Tribolium castaneum: one gene and its partner. The protein of the gene in region 1 purifies or fractionates together with the protein of each later gene. This does not show direct contact. Links are inferred from orthologs where the notes say so. Each region holds a gene or a part of one and is shown in the gene's direction. Other genes may lie near its edges.

Region 1 (10,989 bases):
CAAAACTGGGGAGCCTATCCAAAATAAAATAAAATATAGAAAACAACATAAAATGGTTTTAAGAAATTCCTAACATAATTATCACTTGAGTAGTTCGGAAAATCTACATTTTCATTTATCAAAAACATAAAAAAAGTTGTAAACTGTTCAAAAAAAGTTGGAAATACTACGAAATATAAAGAAAACCTGTTACAGCATGAAGAATAATTACCATTACAGTTGTAATGGTTTTGTATTTTTCAGGAAAAAATTATTACCATTTGGAAAGTATTATCATTTTTTACAAAATGCAGATGATATTGTGGAATATAATATTAAAATACCAACATCCCCAAGATGATTGAAACAGTTTTTTTATAGAATTCGTTATTTTCGAGGCTATTTTAGTATAATTAAATCACAAGGTCACTATTTAGACATCGCAAGCTAAAAACTGGTATAACGACTAATTTTCTTTATGTTTTTATATTATGTTTATGTCTAAATTCTATTCTATGCAAATTAAGTCAGTTATGAGTATAATAATAATTGGGAGGTATTTATTGAAAAGTTAGAGTAACTTTTCTACTGATGCAGCAGTATAGGTATACTAAGGACAACAAAAGAAATAAGTACCTAATGCTGTGTTCATAAAAACGTTGCTTTATTAAACAGTCCGCACAACATATTTACATCTACAGAAGGTACGAGTACATTAGACATGAATCCCATTTTTCTCTAGTTCATCTTTGTATTTGGATCTGTATTCTCCAGAAGGATCATATTTAGCTTCTAACTGCTTCCACATATCAGGTTTATTATCTATAAGGTGGTGCAAAACCTTTCTGACATTTGCTTTCACTTTTTCGTTACATTTTGCACAATCTGTACTAAGAGCCTCTGGTATTGTACCTAAAACGAATTAATTTTTGTTTGTTGTTTTTTTAAATAATTGCAATTTTTTTAAACTTTATGCAGATAATTATTAGTAAATGTGTACTCACTTTTAAGCTTTTTCCCTTCTGGCGTACATCTTCCTTTATCCAATAGGCAATTTACATAATTTTTCAGCAAACGTTCGTTACTGAGAATATCATCAATATCGATGTTATCAGGAATCACATACTCTTCCAGAAAAACAACATGAGCACATGTAAGAACTAGAAACACAGTAAAAAGCATTTTGGCTGCTTTACGTCTAATAAATTCATTTGAATTTGGAACCTTATTTATATAGAGATCATTGCTAGGATATACCAGGGAACAGGTTTTTTAACTTCATCAAAACAAATCTTGGACTTGTCGACAAGTGTGGTGACGCAAATTTTAATTACCCTATAACACATTATTAGGTTGTAATCGATTTTGTCGACGATATACTCTTTGAACTCTTTAATACGTTTTTCAAAGAAAGTATAGAAAGAAATGAGGTGAAAAATTAATTTACGTGTGTTGAACCATCCTTGAATTTTACACCTGGTCTAATTGTCTAATTCCTAACAATTAACAAGTTTTTGCCTAAAAATTAAAGTATTAAACAACACATGTCGGTTTCACGTCCCTACCTAATTACAAGAAAAATTAGGTTTTTTCATAATAAAATTAGATTCAATTTAACCATTTTTTGTGCTACTTGTTTTTGTTTACAAGCCAGTAAAAATAAACTGAAAAGTTGAATCAGAAAATTGTTAAATTTTGCGTCACCACTGTTTTGTAGAAATACGTACTCCTAATGCAAAAATGTAAAATAGTAAACTCATAAAAAGTTCATAATAATTTCAAATTAATTATGCAAATTATGCTACTCTTAACAAACGCCAAAGACTAAAAATATTTTATTTGGACTGAGTCCTTGAGGAGATGCAACAGACCCACAAACAAAGAAAAAAATTAATTAGTGCTTGCTTATTTTTTTAATTGTTGCTCACTAAGAATGAATTCAACAATAAAACCCTCATTTTTTAAGTATTTGTTCCATAAAATTTTAGTTCTAAAGTGATAATTTAATTTTTTTATCTATCTATTTGCCTTATTCTAGACATCATGCTATGAGTGTATGTGAGGTATTCTTATACTCAACAACTCACGGACAATAATTTCGTGTAATGTTTTTACGATTATTAACACGTTATCGCAGCATGAAGATATAATTAAACTAGTACTATTATTATAATATAAATCTTAAAACAACACGCTTTTATCCTATGTGTCAGTTGTAAATCCGACTCCGACCACACGAAATAATGTCATTAAAAGCACAAAGGTTGTTTTCATTATTTATTTTTACATCATTGGCACAAAATGTGTTTGGTGCGAATATCTTAGCCATTAATACACTTCTTTCCCCGAGCCATCACCTTTTCAATGATGTTTATTTATTTGAATTGGCGAAGAGGGGACACAATGTTACACTGTTGGGACACGATAAGGACAAACATAATCATCCCAACTACACATACATTGTCATGGAAGGTGAGTTCATTTTATTTTGTCGATAGTCCACTTGGCAAAATTTTGTAGGAGCTTATGAGAAAGTAAGAGATCAGTTTGATTTAATGGCAATGAAAGATATGTCCGATTGGGAAACAATTAAAAATTTGTGGTCATTTGCCGAAGTAACGTGTCTTCTAGACCAAAAAACAAAGGGTTTACGACAAATAACTAATTATCCAAACGATTTCAAATTTGATTTGATTATTGTGGACGTTAACTATGGACACTGCTTATATCCCCTCATAGAAAAATTCGGGAACCCTCCAATAATAGGAGTGAATCCTTTCATAAACCAGCCAAACTTGTTTAGAAATATTTGGCAAAGTTACATCCCATTTATGACACACTCTTTCGGGGCCCAAATAAATCTCTGGCAAAAATTAAAAAGTTTTTTCTTTATGTTACTGCTTGAAGTGTCAAGGCTCACACATTACATTCCCCGTCAGCAAGAATTGGCTTATGATTATTTTGGTCCGATGAAGTCGAGTATTTTAGAAATTGAGAAAAATATGAGCTTAATGTTAATCAATTACAACCCTGTTTTTAACTACGTTGAAGCTTTGCCCCCGAATATGATTCCAGTTGGTGGTTTACACATCCAACCGAAGCGATTACCTGATGTATGGTACATGTTTTTTTGGAAATTCTGATTTTATCAAAGTCTTTCAGGATTTAAAAGAAATTCTGGATAATGCGAAATTTGGTGCTATTTTATTTTCACTTGGCTCCAATGTACGGTCCAAGGAATTAGGCCCCGAACGAATTCAGGCAATTATCAATACTTTCTCAAAACTCAAACAAACCGTAATATGGAAATTTGAAAACGATAAACTAGAGGGAATTCCAGCAAATGTGCATATTCGGAAATGGGTGCCACAGAACGATATTCTCGGTGTTTTTTTCTATATTTCTTTTAATTATTTTAATTACTAATTTTAGGTCATCCCAATACAATTCTTTTTATATCACATGGCGGTTTGTTAAGTTCACACGAAATCATGTATAATGGGGTTCCAGTAATCGGAATTCCGTTCTTTTTGGACCAGTTACAAAATGTTGACACGTTTATTGCAAAAGGTGTCGGCGAAAAATTAAGTTTTTTTGAAATCACAGAACACAATTTATTTAAAGTCATTCAAAAAGTGTTAAACAACAATACGTAAGTTTGTTAATTGTAGTTGTAGCAAGGAAAATGTGAAATTAACAATTTTAGTTATATGGAAAACGCAAAAAAGTGGTCCGCGTTGTACAAACATCAAATGAACAAACCTTTAGACGTCGCAATATTTTGGATCGAATACATTTTAAAATTTAAGACTGCAGAACACTTCAATCTAGCTACAAGAAACATGAATTTCGTCGAATCTGCTAATTTAGATTTAGTATTTGTGTCTCTGCTTTCACTTGTGTTAATCTTACTCACTGTTTACTGTGCCACATATCTTATTTATAAATGCATCAGAAGAAAAGGTATTGCAAAGGAGTTGGACATTAAGAAAAAAATACAATAAATGTTGTTGCAACTTCCAATAAAAATAGGTACTTTTTTATGGTTTATTGCTATTAAATACTTAATTTTTTCCCTATGCATGCATGTGAATTTTTTCAGAATCTTTGCTCATTTCTTCATAATTAAAATTAATAGATTAATATAATGCCTGTTAAATCTTTGAAAAAAAAATTTCTTACGTAAATTTATTAACAAACAATGCCTAAAATAAGAAAAAATGCGGTAAAAATGCAGACTTGCCTTGTATATAGAGTTGTAAAATTGTAAGCATTAAATTATAGTATGTATTATTGTAATTAAATGTTTGTGTTTAGAGTTTAGACGCGGCAAAAAATTATTTTGTTCCCAAAATTATATGTTTCGAGCGTGTGGTAACCTCCAAGATAATAATCAAGTTTTATTGTAAAAATATATTGTAAACACAAATTAAGACTGGAATTATTAAGTCAAACTATGCTGCCCAATCTAATTATTTTTTAATTTTTATTGATTCAGCATATTGTTATAAATAATTCATCAGATACGTGTTACATCAACAGCGGTCATGTGTTATTTGCCCAGACAGTAGTTATCAATAACTAAATAAAACAATCAGTTCAACAATACCAAATGCATAAGAAATATTGATAAAATACATAGTAGAGTAGAGTAGTTAAAATAAAAATATGCTTTGACAAGACCGTAATAGTAAGAATAATGGCAGTCCATAGATTTTAATACTCTTATTTTACCATCCTTATAGGAATACCTGCATTTTATCCTAAATAGTTGCCCTACAGTGTTTTATTCCCAAACGGAAATAATGAATAATCAGTTTAAAAAAACCGCTCGCTCTCCTGGCGGGGATATTCCTTGCCCGCTATTGGCGTCTCTGCTTTTCAAATATTATTTATTTCCTAACCTCATTTTCCATGTCTAATTGCCACAAATAGACGAAAAAGTAGTGAATTAGCCTTACTACCAGCAAAAATGTGATAAAACCGCCCGAGCCACCGCTGCAATGCTGCAACGTCTTCACCTCGGCTCCTAAATGTGTGTAAATTGTAGAATTCGTCATAGAATGTCTTCGCGTATTTTGGCCCCGAAAATGGCAAGAGCAGACACTTTATGTAGTCAGTCGCTTCTGGAAGCGGGCGACCGCCCCCTCGAACGCCCGCTCGGGGGCGAGCCCGGCGACGTGAAGACCCAGTTCGTGACTCGCGAAGGCACCTACCGTCTCATGACCCTCAGCGAATACTCGAGGCCTAACCGAGTCGGTTATCAGACTCAGGGGCAAACGCCGCCCCAGGTGCGTGTCTCCCTTGTCACGCTTCCGGACCAGGGGGAGAGAATTTGCTTCAACCATGGGCGGGAGCTGTACGTTTACGTGTACAAAGGGATCAAGAAAGCGGCCGATTTGAGCAAGCCCTTGGAGAAGAAGGTGTACAAAGGGACGAACCCGACGTGTCACGATTTTAACATCGCGTCAGCTTCGGGCGAGAGCGTCAGTCTCTTGATCGGCTTCAGCACGGGTCAGATCCAGCTAATTGACCCGATTAAGAAAGAATTGAACAAATTGTTCAACGAGGAGCGGCTTATTGACAAAACGAGGGTTACATGTTTAAGGTGGGTGCCGGGAAGCCGGTCGTTGTTCCTAGCAGCGCACGCCTCAGGCCAGTTGTATGTGTACAATGAGGAGCTCCCGTGTGGCTCGGCAGCCCCCCATTATCAGCCGTTCAAAGTGGGGGAGGGCTTCAGTGTGAGCACTTGCAAGACGAAATCGACCCGGAACCCTCTTTTCCGGTGGCTTCTGGGCACCGGAAGCGCCATTAACGAGCTGGCGTTCAGCCCCAGTGGGGCCCAACTGGCCATAGTGTCGCAAGATGGGCAGTTGCGGGTGTTCCAGTACGACAGTATGGAGCTGCTGGGCACCGCCCGCTCGTACTTCGGGGGGCTGCTCTGCGTGGCGTGGTCTGGCGACGGGCGCCTGATTGCAGTGGGGGGCGAAGACGATTTGGTCACTGTTTACTCCATGGAGCAGAAGCGGGTCGTCGGGAGGGCGCAGGGGCACCGCTCGTGGGTGGCCGCCGTGGCGTTTGATTGGTTCCTGGAGGCGGAGTCGTGCTACAGGCTGGGGTCAGTGGGGCACGACACGCAGTTGTGTCTTTGGGAGCTGCCCGAAGACGCGTTGACGACTCCTTCGAAACCGAAGGTTAAGAGAAGGTCGGATCCTTTGCAGCTGGTGGGGACACCGGCCTGTCCCAGGCTGGACGAGTGTCCGGTGTTGGAACCTTTAGTTTGTAAAAAAATTGCTCATGAAAGGTTGACTGCTTTGGTTTTTCGACCTGATTGTATCATTACGGCGTGCCAAGACGGTTATGTGTATACATGGGCAAGGCCCCCTTCCTGAATATGTCGTATTTTTCTAATTAGATTTTTATTCAACTTTTATACATAGTAGGGGCAATAACAGGTGGATAAAACTGTGGAACCAAAGTGTAAAATAGCAAACGCTTGGTTGCATTTTTTCACCTGATAGCATGTAAGTGTAATTGATGGATGTAGAATCTGTTGCATAATTGGTGTGATTTTTCGTAATTTTATCATTCGTAAATATATGAAGATATTTTGAAACTTGTATTTCATTTTAACCCTTTTTCCAAATAAAATCCTTACAAAATAACTCGCTTTTTTGTATCAAAAGGCAATTGAAGGCGCTTCAAGCGTTAAATTATCTCGGCTCTAAACTGATTTAAATTTACTAACTGCAAAAAATGGCCGTAACGTTGAGCATCAAATTCTTAATAAGCTGAGAAAACTGACGAAAATTTTAGTTTCACGACAAACGGGAGAAAAAATTTGAAGCATCATTATTATTACTAGCCGTCAGGGATGGGGTAGGTTGGTTGAATAAAATTCCCAAAGTGCAAAGAATCATTTTATTGTTTATAAAGCATCGTATATAATCTAATAATTAATCGTTATTAAAAATTAAATAAAATAGTGCTCATTAGAGGCACTTAAATCTATCAAAGCCTGATACAAGGGCTCGGGATTCGGGAACCGTTCAGTCCACGACTGGATCATCCCTTCCGGGGTTTCCCCATACGTTTTCAATTCGACGTTCGAACTCAACACAGTATTAGCCTGCGCAAAAATCTTCCTTGGTTGCTTGTTGGCCAAAACAATCGCGCGCCAGCTCAACCACGGCTCACACACTTCGGAATAATGTTGGTACAAATTCTGAGCTGCTTCGATATTCGCCGTTGCTTTGTAAACTTGCAACTGGAGCAGAAAATGAGCGATGGCACTCCGACCGGCGCCTTTCAACGCAGCACGGTCTAGAGTGACCAAAAGATCGCCGTCACTGGGCTGTGTGACACTCGCAACACCGGCTTGAATCAGAACACGCGCCAGCACGAATCGGGCCTAAAAAACATTATTTGAGCAATTTTCCCGCTTGAAATTAAATTTAAATCACCTGGGAGTGGGCTTGGAGCCATCCTCGCTTCGGATCCCACGTTTCCAAAGCCCGGCCAATGCCGTTCCAAACCAAAGACAACCAATTCACATAGAGGACATCCTCGGCTTCTTGGCCTTTGTGGCCGAAAATTTGCAACACTGCCGGTTCCAGACTTAAATATAAGCCAACCGCTTCAGCTCGGCATTCCTCGTATGAAGAGCTCATTGGGCCAAAACGCGAATCGTAGGTGTCCCCAGGCTCGTAGTACGTGGATGGGGGTTTCCCCGTCAAGGGGTCCAACAGTGTGTTTGGGTAATTGAACGTTCCATCGGCGGCACGATAAAATATTTTGCCGGAACCGTGACCTAGCAATTCGTGAAGGCCCACCTAAATATTTCCAATTTATTTTTTTTAACGTTGGTAATAGGGCATTACCTGTAATTCGAAGGAAGCAACGCGATATTTTTGGATCAATTGTGTATCAGACTCGTTCAAGAATGGAATCACAGACATTTGATAACTGGCTGGTATGACGTTTCCTAAAGAGACGTTCTTGAAACCCTCGCTTTGCCGGATATCGTCGTCTGAATAACAAAAAATACCAGTTGCATTTAAATGAGTAATAATGTCTATTATATCGACGTAAAATGATAAATGGTTTATATTTGAAAATATTGAGCAACTAAATGAAGTTGTTTTAATAAATAAACATAGACAAAGTTTCAATTTCTTCTTCTGGTTACAATCTTTGCTGCGAGAGATACGACATACGCGTATTATTTCAGTTAAAAGGTCATTATTTTTGTCAGATTTCGCTAAACCCCACCGCTCACAAAGCAAATTATTTTTGAAGAAACTTGGCCAGATTTCAAAACGTTTTCGCTGTGTAATACTTTTTTATACATTTTTTTTCTCTCCATAATCATTAAATAAGCTGAAAGGTGTTGCATTTAATAAATATTTAAAAAATATGGTAATATTAACTGTGCAAAATGTTAAAAAATTATTTGATAGCCGCATGGGACAGTAAAACACTCACAGTTGGGAATGTTAATCCCGGCCGGTATTCCGCTGGACGCAAACGTGAGCACATCAAGCGAGGTAAAATCGGGCCTCAAAAACTTGTCTTTTTCGAACCCTTTAGGCCACGGCAACAAGGGCAAAAACTCCTCAGCTTTGGAGACCAAAGTTGTGAATTTGGCCGACATTGCGCGATTCACGATCGCGACAAACCCTTCAAATTCGCCCCTAATTCCGGCCGGATCTCTGTAGGTTTCTATGAAGCCAATGTAGGTTTCCACAGCTGGGCCCTTGTCCTTAATCCAGTGCCGAGACCCATCTTTGTGAAGGTCCAAAGAACCCGTAAGAAACGACTGGGCGTAAGCTTTTAACATTTTGGCCTGAGTGGGATTGGCAGCGTATTTTGACGCTTCCTCCAGACTTTCGGCGACTTTTCCAATAATCGGCGAATAGTCGCCTTTAGTTAGGCGAAACGTCATGTTCCCGTAGGTTTCTTTCGAGATTTCGCCGGTTTCTTTCGAAGCCAACCGAATTTCGTAATCAATCTATGATTTTTATTAACAAAAACCTACAGTTTTTTTGACTGTTTTAATTACCTTCCCATCCGGGAGCACAGTTTTGAACAAACGCGTGTTGTAGCCTTCAATATTCTGGGTCTTCATCCAGTCTTGCACCCTTTGATTGTCCTCAGGCGTGCAGTTTTTCGACAAGTAGGTGGTGCACCCATGGGGGGCATACCCTAGGCATGTCTTACCAGGGCTAAGGTCATACATAGCGTTCTTCACCTTCGCCCACAATTCTTTAATTTTGGGCCAAACAGGAGTAGCCGCAAGGAGCGACTCAAGCCTGTCCTGTGCTATCCCCGGGACGAATTTTGAGTCCCCAAACCCCTAAATCATCACATTGAAAACAAGCAACAAATGGTTTCATCACCTTATAATTCCCAGCGTTACTGAAAATTCCACACGCGTAAACCAGGAACGCCTTGGCTTCATCTTCGCTAAACCCAGCCTGAAGGGCTACTTTTTTGAAATCCTGAGGCTTAAGACCTGAGAATAGTTTATGCAAAAGGACAAAAATTGGTCCAGATTCTGGGCTTGTTTGTAAGAAAGTTATTAGGCCCCCGGTCCAGGACGCTTGACTTATGTGATGAGCGTATCTCTTCTCCGTGTCAGTCAGTCCCTTAAATGCTGAGGCAACTTCTAGGGTCACAATAGGTTGGTCTAAGGGCAGGATGTGTTGGGATTTATCAAGTTCAGAACTCATTCTGAAAGTAAATCAATTTGTGTTGTTAAAACTACAAAATCAGAATAAGTGTCGCATACTTTCAACAATCAACAAAAACTAGGACAGATAACAAGATAATTGTTTGATAATTCACACTTTTGACGAGACAACAGGGCACAATTACAGGTTTGGAAAGGTTAGGTGTGGATGACTTGTATTGTGGGTGTTCTGATTTAAAAATGTAGAGATGTGATTGGTGGAGCCGCAAATGTTTAAAAATACTGATAAGATGTAGCCAATCGCATCAAAAGCTGCATTTTTTGTATTTATAAAACTTTCAATAGCATATGCAACCGCTACTGTCGCACCTTATTGTTGGTTGCCTATATAACACCTTACCACCAGAAATTGTAATTAATTTAATTATTAATTGAATCATTACTTAAATTGCAATTTCCATATTTGTTTAATTTAGAATTTTTAATTTTTTTATGGACCAATGTGATCATTTGAATTATTGATTAATATATACCGACTAAAAAAATGGGTGTTTAATAATAATCGGTACTGCTTAAAGCAAAAACGAATTAGTTTATTAAATAATTATTTCACTAATTTAAAACGGAACTGGCTTACGCACCCACTGAAAAAGTGTCCCATTTCTGGATGGATTTCAATGGCGAAATTTCGAATAAAGGGGGGCATTTGGCACCATATTTTCAGCGAAAACTCTAGTTTAATCAGAGTACAGGAAAACAAATTCGGTATATCCAAGACTTTCGGGAAATTTAATCTCAAATCATAGGTGTGTTCTTTATAAGCACCGATACCTTCCTTTTTGAACTTCAGTATCGTTTCGACATGTCTCTTACTTTTGTTTTTGGGATTGACCGATTTAAACTTGACTCGTTTCAAAAATTTAACTTTTAAATTCTTTACAGTCTGATTAGACTCATTCCTCACGTAAATTTTAACATCAACAACGTCGCCGGGCACGAACGCAATCCGAGGCACCCGCACTTGCATCACCAATTTCCCTTCTTTGCCGTATTTCCAGCGCTTGAATTTCGTTTCGTTGTAATAGATTTTCTCTCTTTGAAAACTCCTAGTTATTCCGTAAAGTTCAACTGGGGATTGGACCACAACTATTGACGTGTCTATGAAATCGTTCCAAATGAAGGGAATTACGGTCCCTGTTATCAGATAAAACACTTTTCCGTAAGTGTGGGTGAACGTTGATGGCAAATAGCGAGGTATGAAAATGCGAAAGGGGTAAGCGAATTCTCCTGTACGGTAGGTTTTGACTCCCCGTTTCGCG
Region 2 (10,989 bases), on another chromosome or scaffold:
CCGGGTGTTCGAGCAACCCCTGCAAGAATGGTGGGCAGTGCTACCCCCTGTCACCAATGGATTACAACTGTAATTGTTTGAGTGGATTCAGGTAAACTACCACTTTTTATTTAAACGTATCTTCTTAATTTTAAAAGACCTCATTGACTTTCTTCCGCTACAGTTTGTAGCAAGATATTAAAAATATATCAAAACGAAAATTAGAACAAGATGTTAATAATATAATAACACACATTCTACATCTCTACATACCTCGAAACCAACAATAGTTAGTATCGATACCTCCTATCACACACTCGCCGCATTAACACGCACTATTCAACGAATTTGAAACTTTTAAACCTCAAAATTCTGATTTTATTTGAGGCGTCCGTTCGCGACAACAACAAGTAACAAACTGAATAAAATTAAACGGCACAATAATTGTGTAAGAATAACGATAAAACGTCACTAATAAAAAATATAATCTGTGAGATAACTAGGTGCGAGGCGGGAAACAAAGATATTTGTCTGAATCATTGATTTTTGTAACGACTTTATCATTTAACGTTTTTTTATGTATCTACTGAAAATATACAAGGTCCATTCCCTGAAATTAATTTCTTAAGCAAATAATTTTGGACAAAGCAGTTTACGTTTTAGCGAAATATTTAATATGATGATGCAGAAAAAAATACACTTTGTGCACATGCAACAATTCAAAACATAAAAAAATCCCATTTTTTTACAGTGGTAAAGACTGCGAAATTGAAATGAATATCTGCGAGCAAAAAATACCATGTCAGAATGGAGGCACATGCAGTGGAAACGCAACAGGATACGAGTGCAGTTGCCCACTTCTCTTCTCTGGAAAAAATTGTGAACTCCGTAAGTAAACCAAAATTTAATAATAACTGGGAGTATATTGACTGATTTGTTCGTAGGTGTTGAATTAAGAAACGACGCACATTTTAACGGCAAAGGCTACCTGGAATTCGACCGCGATCTCCTCGATCACATCAAAGAGAACGAAGACGAACTAATAGCAGTGGAATTGTCCACAAATTCGAGCGACGGTCTGGTCTTTTGGCACGGACAAACGCCCAACGAAGATGGCCAAGGGAAAAATTATATTTCTCTCGGAGGTTCGTTATTTTTTGCATCAATTGCCAAATTAACACATGTTTATTTGCAGTTGTAAACGGATACTTGGAGTTCAGTTACGACCTAGGCTCAGGTCCTGCGATAATCAGAAACACGCAGAAGAGAGTAGATGATGGGCAAAGACACAGTGCCATTTTGAAACGCAGAGGTCGCGTTGGTTCTATAGAAATCGACAATGCGTACACCCAAACGGGTGAATCCCCCGGTTTTACAAACACGTTGTCATGCGCTGGAAACATATACCTGGGGGGAGCCCCGAATATCGGACTCATGACTGGAAGGAGGTTTAGCCATGGCTTTGACGGATGCGTTCACGCTTTCGAGCTACAAAATTTGAAAACACTTGATTTGGGAATAAGAGCGATCTCGGGAGTTAATGTTAAACCATGCTCTAGGTGAGTAATTTAAACTTGTATCTAGGTCGAGTTCTATGCACCATCGGACACACACTCAAACATAAATTTAAATAAATAAATTACCAGCATGTGTCCGTAAATGCATGGAAATGCGGTGATTTTTTTGACTAATTGAAAACTTTACACGCTGCTTATTGAAGAATACGGTGGATTCCGTCCTCGTTGATTTTTGCTGATTCGGATCAGTTTGATGAAATTGTTGAGCCCCCTCCTGTTAACATAATCCATCCAAAGCCCTCCAGTATGTCGCATCAACGTCCCTGTCTTAATTTCTATCACGTCATATACCTTTGCTGCATACAAATACTGCTGACAGACATTTGACTAAATGAACTGATGCATTTTATTACGTAAATAATCGCAATAACTTCATGTGCTAGACAATAGACTAATAACGAAACATAAGTTTGTTCTAAAATTATAACATATCAAAACAAGTCCAATTATATCTATTCCAAAAGATTATGTTGACTAGGTCGAATTGTAGAAATGTTAAAAATTGTACATAAATAAGCAATTTGAAGGTAAATATTTTATTACCGTTAATTACATGATATAGACTGACGCTTTTTTATCCAATTATTGCAACCTCTAGTGGATTGTACATATTTAGGTAAGAAGATATCAATTTTAAACAAGTCAGATCCTGCATACATTTATTTTCTGTTACTAATTTGTACTTCTGTTTCAGCTTCGATGACCTATATGACGAAAATGACCTCGTGAATTGAGAACGACTACTAGTTTTAAGTTAAGGGCAGTCGATTTAGTTGTCCAACAAGTGTTCACTTATTTGTGTTCATTTTATTTTATTCAAGATCATTACAAACAGCAAAATGTTAATTGGTTAAAAGCACAGTAAATTAGCATTTTGCCAACCTTATTTTATTCCCCCAATGGAATAACTTTCTATTCTTTTAACTGCCATTTTTCTGGTCGATTCTTTTTTTATACATATACTATAATCTTTTTTATATGATTTTATCTTTAAAAAATTGTGCCATTTTAGGGATAGTTTAGTAAGAAAATAACTGTTGAAGAGCAATGTATACTTAAAAGGGTACATAAAAATAAGGTCCAATATGTAATTTATGAAAAAATCATCTTTCGACTTTTAGTGTAGTCTTTTAATTTTTAATGGTGCTATTAACAAATTATTATGAATAAAGGCTTTGTTGATACAAGTTATACTCTTCTGTGCTTTCTTTGTCCATATGTTGCTTACATTTTCATGTTTTGATTAATTGTACCAGTCAGTTTTACTTTTTCAAATGAAAATGTATACAATGTGATTTTACAAAACGAAACAAAAACGTATCAGCAATGGTGATTAACAATAAAATATAATTATATATAGTTATATAGGCTAAACATGTTTTATAAGTGCTTTAAATTTTTTCTTTCTCTATAGACTAAAAAGAAAAACACTAATTATGTGGAGAAATTATATATATAATAAATCAATTGTATAAATTGCCTAAATTCTAAGAAATAACCGTGAAATTCGTTTATTGGATGGCATTTAAAGCTCTCCCATCTTGAGCGTGTTGAATCTCGTTGAATAAATAAATGCCTTCTAATAACACGTATTGTTTGTAATTAACTATTTGTTATAAGTGCATTTTCAATAACTGAAGACAATAATTATTGAATAAATGTATGTAAAACTGACGCATTTTTATTATCTCCTTCGCAAAAGTGCTGTATCTGTAATTCAAGGGGAAGTCTCACTTCTCACTGCCACTGGTTCTGCCGCTCAATAATCACTAATCAGTGATTATAATAGGTACGTATTAAGAAGTAATAATAAAAACCAATATTCACTCCGAAAAATACAAATGCGCTGTTGCAAAATTCTACTAAGAACTGAGATATATATCCCATTTCAAAATAACAAAACGTACAAATTTCATAGTACAAAGGATGCTTTAAAGGCGTACTTGAATAACCCGCTAATAGATTCAGTTCCATCACAATTTGTTATGTGGCGCTGTAGTTTAGAACTGATGTCGGTAAGGGCGGAATCCTATCTACATAGAGTGATTCTATGGACTTTTTTTCGGTGGATAAAAATGCGGATGCTTATTTTGCTTTGGATAAAAAAACTTCGGACAAAATGGAGCTCTCCCAAAAAAGCATGTTACTGTATAAATGATTTAGTATTTATAAAAAATACTGTTTAATCGTTTATTATTTATTTGGAACCTCAGACACAAATCAGCTGTTTTTGACGTTAGCCTCTGTCAATGTCGACAGTAAATAAATAACACAATCACAAAAAACAAATAATAAAACAAAGAGGAGGATTATGTGGGCTTTTTTACCCTATCCTGCTTTATACAAAATCTTCCAGTACTTGAATTATAAAGAATTAGTGCGTGTAAGTGAAGTTTGTCATAACTGGTGTGAGGTTAGTCGAGATGATTTTCTCTGGAAAGACTTGTTCTTTGAGAACTTTCTTGTCGATAAATCTGTACCGATAGTTTCTGGTAAAACAAGAAACATAATACGGCTTATCAATAATTTAATCGCTTGCAGAAAGAACTTGGTATGAGGAATTCAAAAGACTATCTTACAATGTTCCAGTGGTCCAAACAGAGACATTACACGATCATCGACATCAAGTCCTTCATGTCAGTTTTTCACACAACGGCAAATACTTTGCCACATGCTCAAAGGATGGCTATGTCCTGGTAAAAATCTCATTTAGAGCTATACAGCGCTTTCTATTAAATTCACGATCAAAGGCGCCTGTGACTGAAAATTGGCCACAGGCCACTTTGACCATGTCGTCCACTCTTAACTTTTCTTATTGAAGCTATGGAACTCCACATATCCAGTTGAAATAAAATATTCACGAGATATGAACAGTTTTTCCTGGAAATACACACAATATTCACAGTTTAATGAATCTGACACTCTGCTTCTTGTATCAGGAGTTCATTTTGGTACACCACATAGTACTTCAGGCGAAATTGCAGTATTTAATTTACTCGGTAATAAATTACGTTGCAACAGACTCAAGTGTGCCAATTACGTTGTTTTTAGCTGGGTTTGAGTTGCAATGTCGAGTCGTCAATAAGCCATATGATATTTATGGCACTTGGTACAGTGACCAACACTTACTCTCAGGTGACTTACATTGGTTAGCACATTTAGTTAGTACGTCCTCGTTATGGTTAAATAAAGCATCACAAGAGGCTGAATCAGAGCATGTCCCGATAACTCATAACATGTTTCGGTTTTATAACAGAAATGCAAGTTCAATTAGAGCGATAATGATCGCCAACTGTCTTCCAAATTCTGAACTTGCGACAGAGACCAAAGAAACCGAAGTTGAGGTCGGACCGTCTGAAAATAAAAACAGCACATTTGAGCACGGGAACCCTGTAAGCCATAGAGACATAAATGCGGTTCCCTGCACACACAGTTCTTCTGGTAATAATTTAAAACGCGAAACGTAGGACTAACAACAAGGAGGGAAAAAGACTCAAAATAACCCTTTGTTTGAAAAGAAAAAAAAAAGAAAATTAAATTCTTAACAAGCTGAGAAACCCCGATCTATATTTTTTAAAACTTGATGGGCAAATACAATTGCAAAAAACAATGCAATGTAGAACTAACAGAAATGAGTCGCCTCCTAACTTTTTAGTCCTCCGTAATTGTTGCAAGTTTAAGTAAATTTGAATATTTTAGGCAGTGCTATTTCTTTTGATGCCAAAAAAACTGCAAGTGGCTCAGACTTAGGAAATCCGATTTGGTATAATTCAGATTATCGCAAAGTTGAATCTGAGAATATGCTAATAGATGAGTCTGAGGAAGAAACGGAAGATGATGACACTGGCAAGGATGATTGTGATGATGAAGGTTCTGAAGAAGACTCAGATCAACTCACTCAAAACGATAAATATTTAATTTTTACAACGGGCTTTAAAACATACACACCTCATCAGATAGGTACGTAATAAAATAAAAAGACATTAAAACAAAAAACAATTACGACAAAGTAAAGTTGTTTGCTTTTCAGTTTTCAAACTATTCGTAAAGCATAACGAGAATAATAATTCAACTAAAAAATTAAAAAGACGTACGAAATCGCCGAAACAACACAACACTTTCATTTTAAAACATCTTATCAATTAATGAGCTTATTTTTGTCTATCCTTTTCTTTACTTCGTTTTGTGTTACAACTACGGCTATTTAAAGATTAGGATACGAAACGACGTACAAATAAAACGTTCCCGTCCTCGATAGTTCCACTAATGTCGGCAGAGGGCCCAGTTGTTCTATCACTGTCTAAGTTTTCAGAGCAATGACTTTGTAAAAATGGTTAACACCTACCTAGCAAACAAAAAAAAATCAGGCAGATAGAGCATTAAATTCTCAACAGTAAGACGTAAACATAATGCAAACATTTGTCGTAAACTATGTTTAAAAAAAATTAAAACTTTTACCAATCTGTACTCTATCCCATATTTTTTAAAACGCTGCGAATACGGTTACAGATGCAAGAAAAATGCTAGGAAGAAAGCTGTACAGAATTTATAGTCGTCCGTAGTTACAACAGTACTTTAGTGACAAATTTTGTGAGAAAGTGACAGAATGGGGAATAAATAGATAGAATATAATTAGATAAGTACCACGTAATCAATCAAAACCTTAAAAAAGAAGAAATTATTTTGTTAACAATCGGCGAAAAATTATAAACTTGTCTAATATGTATTTAAAACGCGAAGGAACAAAAATGCGATTGTGATCCAAAATCATCTTTTTTAAATCATTAATTTAGATTTACCTGTGTTTGTTATATTTATCGTTTTAAATTTTAAAAAATGATTAGTATTATCCCGTATCAGGAAATTTCCTTGAACGAAAACCAACCTATTTTCAGGCTTTAAACGGATAAAACCGTTCGCTTTCCCTAAACGCTTGGACCCGGGCCCCTCGTTGAAAGAACGCATAATTCTGCGTGAACGCAAACGCGAGCTTTTAAAATCCGGTTCGCCGCCCCCCGAGCCAAACTGGCTAGATTTCGACTCAGTGGCCGATAAATTTGACAAAGTCGACCATGTGATTGATTTACATGGCCATATCGTCGGAATGGGCCTCAGTCCTGACCACAGATACCTCTACGTCAACAGCAGATCCTGGCCTGAAGGGTACAAAATATCGAATCCCTTGGATCCGCCCCCGATTGCACAAGAAATCGACATCCACGTTATTGACTTAGTGACTTTGAAACAAGTCGGTACTATGCTACGAGCGCACAAGGCGTACACTTCCAACAGCGAGTGCTTTTTTATATTTTTGGACGTTTGCAACCAGTATGTGGCGAGGTGAGAGGGCTTATGAACATTTTCAGGTTTGCATGCAAGTGTTTTCAGTGGCGCTGAAGATAAGCATGGGTACTTGTGGGATCGACACTACGGCATGTGTTTAGTTAAGTTCCCGCATTCGGATGTGGTTAATTCCGTAGCATTTAATCCCAAAGACCCGGAAATGTTGGTTACTACGTCAGATGATCACATCATTAAGGTGTGGAGGTCAAGGGCCAAAGTGAGAGAACTGAAATTGAGCGAAACGCAGTTTCCAAAAGGTGTGGAGTTTAGACGAAGTCGAACGAAAGATAAGTTAAGATGCAACGCCGGCATAAGGAGGATATGAGGTTGTGGTGGCAATAATTGTGTCTTCGTGTGAACATAATCCAGTTTTTCGAGTCGTTTGATTGTACTTTTAACTTATTAGTTTATCCGTCCAAATATGAAGGAATGTTTTTATGACTAACATAATCTTGAATATATGAAAATAAAAAAATATATATTGCCTTATTTATTTTTCATAAAGTCCTAAATATTGGTCATAAATATTGTAATACTTTAATGTTTTCACACCTCGTGAGATTCGTTGTTATTATTTAATATACTTTCATCAGAGCCCTTATTACCATCTGTGTTACTATCATCTTGAGTTTGATGCCTCTTCTTCTTTTTTTCCACATGACCTTTACAGTGCTCACACTCGTCATCAGATCCTTCCTCCGAACTGCTTTCATCAAAATTTCGCGGTTTTTTATATATACAACAACCTACAAAACTGAAACTTTACACGATAACACGAACAAACACCTACATTTTGATTTCTTTTTATTCATATGTTCGTTGTCTACTGTTTCAGTTGTCCACTCCACTTTTCTGTCACTCTTGGGTTTAGTTAGCCTCAGCTTAAGTGTAGGCACTTCATGATCCTGCAAGAGCTTGAAATTATCACTATTTACTCTTGCAACGTTTTCTTTGTACACCATTAAATTTTTATCATGATTACCCCAATCGCTCAGGAAAAACACCATTGTCTGTTGTAAAATTTTATTGTGTACAAAGAAAACGTTGCTACAGTACTCTATGATATGACGTATGATGGCCACCGAATAGCATGTTTAGTCGATTAACAATTAAATAAATAAATAAATAATTCAAGTAAATGAAAAACTATAATCAATTATCTGTTCAATTACAATTATTAATTTTTTTTATTAAGGAGAAATATTTTTACTCAGGAAAGTTTCTGGTAATGCTTTCCTGAAATTCTTGTTTTTAAGACTCCATATGATATGCCTTATAAAGCGTGTTACGCTTTAGTGAGACATGCCGTAGCGTAACACCATAAATAAATAATAAAAAAATAGGAAAATAACGTCATTTAATTAGCGATTTATTATCAGGTTTCGAAAAAAAAAACAACAGAAATACATACCTTTACCTCACAAGTCTGCATTTTCAACCTAATTTGTAGTTATTTTGGATAAAATTTAGCAACATAATTGCGCGTCTGCTTTAAAAATACATGTTAAAAAGCGTGAATACCTAATTTAGTTCTTCGTACAAAAACTTGGTGAATGGTCTAAAATAGCACAAAATAAAATTTGCGACCAAAGTTTATAATTTTTGTCCTTTTTGCAAAATCTAACGGAAAAATTTGTCCATCTGAAAAAACCGCAGCTGCCCGCAAACGCACATCGGAAGTTAAAAAAAAGATTAACCATTTAATTACAATTGCACTTAATTATAAAAAAAAAACAATACAGTTTTAGCGATGAGAATAAACTTGAACGGATTGAAAAATAAAATACAAAAACAAAAATGATTTATTACAATTTAAAAATGGCGTGTAACAAATCATGTGAATTAGTTTAACCTTCTTATTATTTACGGGTTTGTACTGTTAACACGTCACATATTAGCCACAAAATATTGCTTCAATGGAAACTCAAGTATTTATAAAAATGGAAATGTTAAATTGCAGCTACAAAATAAGTATGTGTAAAGAATTAACATAAAAAATAAATAAACGCAGGTCTATTTGAACACACAATAGTGAAGTGATTAGAAGCCTTTGCATTGGAAATACAAATACAAAAACACTGAGTTGAGTTTATTAACAGGACGATGGCAAGCCACTTGATAAGTAAACAGTAACATTGAAGTTATGATTTTGGTAAAAATGAATTAGTAAAGACAAAAACATGATCACAATATTTTTTCTCTATGATATCGATAATACATTGCTTTTATCACATTTGTCTATAAACACTACCAATCCCCCACCGTTTGAGAGACTTTCATCCCATTTTAATTTGATATTGGAATACATTAATAACCCACAAATGCAGTCTTAGTGTTCACAATTAATAGGATGTTCTTCCCCCGATTGTTTCTTTTTCTTCTTCTTCTCCACATGACCCTTACAGTGCTCACACTCATCATCTGAATCTTCCTCAGAACTGCTCTCATCGAAATTCCTAGGTTTCTCGTAAATACAGCAACCTAGTCAACGAAAAAATCTTAATTTCGCATACGTAATTCACAAACGGCTACTTACATTTTGATTTCTTTTTATTCAAGTTTTCATTATCCACGGTCTCATTCGTCCACTTAACTTTTTTATCGTTTTTGGGCTTTGTCAACTTTAACTTAAGAGTTGGCAATTCATGGTCCTGTAAATAAGTCGCAAAATAATAACATACAAGTGCGAAATAGTTTATTATAAAAGTAAATACAAAAATAAACCAATACCAATAAAATAACAAAAGGCAAGAAATAGTATAGTTCACTGAATGACACTTTGCTTTTTCAGATCATTAATTTGTTCGGTTGAATAGTTTAAAATAGTCTCCAGGACTTCTTGAGTGTGTTGGCCTAAAGTCGGTGGCGGAGATCTCACACTGTTTCCCCCATCGCTATACTTGACCGGAGGTCCAACAACTTTTATGTTGCCAGCCACAGGATGCTCCAAATTTTGCACCAATCCGATTTCCTTGATATGCGGGTCATCGAAAGTTTCTTTTAAGGAATTCACAGGCCCTGACGGAAAAGACCCGCCGGCAAAAATTTCACTCCACTCTTTTTTGGTTTTAGTGGCCATTATAGACCGTAACAGACCGATCAATTCAGTCCTGTGCTTAACTCGCAGCTGGTTGGTTTTAAATTTGTCGTTTTCGGCCAAATCTGGCCGTTTTAGTTTCCTGCAAAGGTCTTGGAATTGCAAGTCGGACCCAGTGCCTATGGTGTAGTACCCGTCCTTGGTCGGGAACGCTTCGTATGGGACTATGCTCTCGTGGGCGGTGCCCCAGCGACTTGCCTCTTTCCCCGTGTTTAGGTAATTTGAGCCAATGTTGATGAGTGAGGCCACTTGGGTTGAGAGGAGATTGCAGTCGATTTTTTGCCCCTTTCCGGTCCTTGTGCGCTGAAAGAGCGCGGCCATGATAGCCCCATGCGCGTACAAGCCGGTCGATAGGTCGGTCATGGCGACGCCGGCCTTGCAGGGCTCGCCCCCTTGGGGCCCCGTGATGTGCAGGAAGCCCCCCATCGAGGCCGCAATGACGTCGTACCCAGGCTTGGTCCTGTACGGGCCATCGGGGCCAAACCCAGTGATGGAACAGTAGATTAAATGGGGGGCAACTGCCTTGAGGTGCTCGTAACCCAGCTGCATCTCGTCTAGTTTTCCCGGCACGTAATTTTCCACCAACACGTCCGACTTTTCGGCCAGTTTGTACAGAATATCGCGGCCTTTTTTGAGATCAACACAGACACTTTTTTTGTTGCGGTTGAGGCAGACGAAGTACGCCGTTTCCGCCGTGTTGTTGATGAACGGCGGGCCCCATTTGCGGGCCTCGTCGCCGCCCCCGGGCCGCTCGATTTTGAGGACTTCGGCCCCCAGGTCGGCCAAAATCATGGTGCAGTACGGCCCTGCCACTATTCGGGTTAAATCTAGAACTCGCACGCCTTCCAGCGGGAAATTACGCGAGTGTATTGATCTAAACGCGCTGTTTGCTATTTTTAAACGGGCGAATTTAACATGAGGGATGGATTTGTACACAGTGGCCAACATTTTCGACTACAACTACTCAAAATTCTTATCAATTACGTAATGTTT

The links.
Region 2: the proteins of WD repeat-containing protein 20 (region 1) and Fbw5 purify together in Homo sapiens (co-immunoprecipitation; 3 studies listed by BioGRID and IntAct, counting the BioPlex papers as one, with this or other methods). This does not show direct contact. The link is inferred for Tribolium castaneum from reciprocal best matches to the Homo sapiens genes WDR20 and FBXW5.

The regions. Positions count from the first base shown.
Region 1 is NC_087396.1:10,863,187-10,874,175, forward strand, and holds WD repeat-containing protein 20, read left to right. Parts: upstream 1-4,565; 5' UTR 4,566-5,012; coding exon 5,013-6,371; 3' UTR 6,372-6,595; downstream 6,596-10,989. Other genes in the region: Csp18 (chemosensory protein 18 precursor), read right to left, coding at 695-891, 984-1,161; UDP-glycosyltransferase UGT5, read left to right, coding at 2,223-2,451, 2,500-3,092, 3,142-3,364, 3,412-3,631, 3,686-3,983; DppIII (dipeptidyl peptidase 3), read right to left, coding at 6,953-7,390, 7,443-7,811, 7,860-8,008, 8,464-8,989, 9,041-9,334, 9,378-9,711; arrestin domain-containing protein 5-like, read right to left, coding at 10,275-10,989. UniProt on the Homo sapiens protein: Regulator of deubiquitinating complexes. Activates deubiquitinating activity of complexes containing USP12. Anchors at the base of the ubiquitin-contacting loop of USP12 and remotely modulates the catalytic center of the enzyme.
Region 2 is NC_087398.1:9,095,286-9,106,274, reverse strand, and holds Fbw5 (F-box/WD repeat-containing protein 5), read left to right. Parts: upstream 1-3,767; 5' UTR 3,768-3,867; coding exon 3,868-4,048; intron 4,049-4,097; coding exon 4,098-4,252; intron 4,253-4,377; coding exon 4,378-4,555; intron 4,556-4,607; coding exon 4,608-4,997; intron 4,998-5,255; coding exon 5,256-5,516; intron 5,517-6,451; coding exon 6,452-6,896; intron 6,897-6,944; coding exon 6,945-7,224; 3' UTR 7,225-7,376; downstream 7,377-10,989. Other genes in the region: basement membrane-specific heparan sulfate proteoglycan core protein, read left to right, coding at 1-91, 731-867, 924-1,124, 1,175-1,538, 2,251-2,290; succinate--hydroxymethylglutarate CoA-transferase, read right to left, coding at 9,664-10,944; uncharacterized protein LOC100141846, read right to left, coding at 7,446-7,645, 7,690-7,804. UniProt on the Homo sapiens protein: Substrate recognition component of both SCF (SKP1-CUL1-F-box protein) and DCX (DDB1-CUL4-X-box) E3 ubiquitin-protein ligase complexes.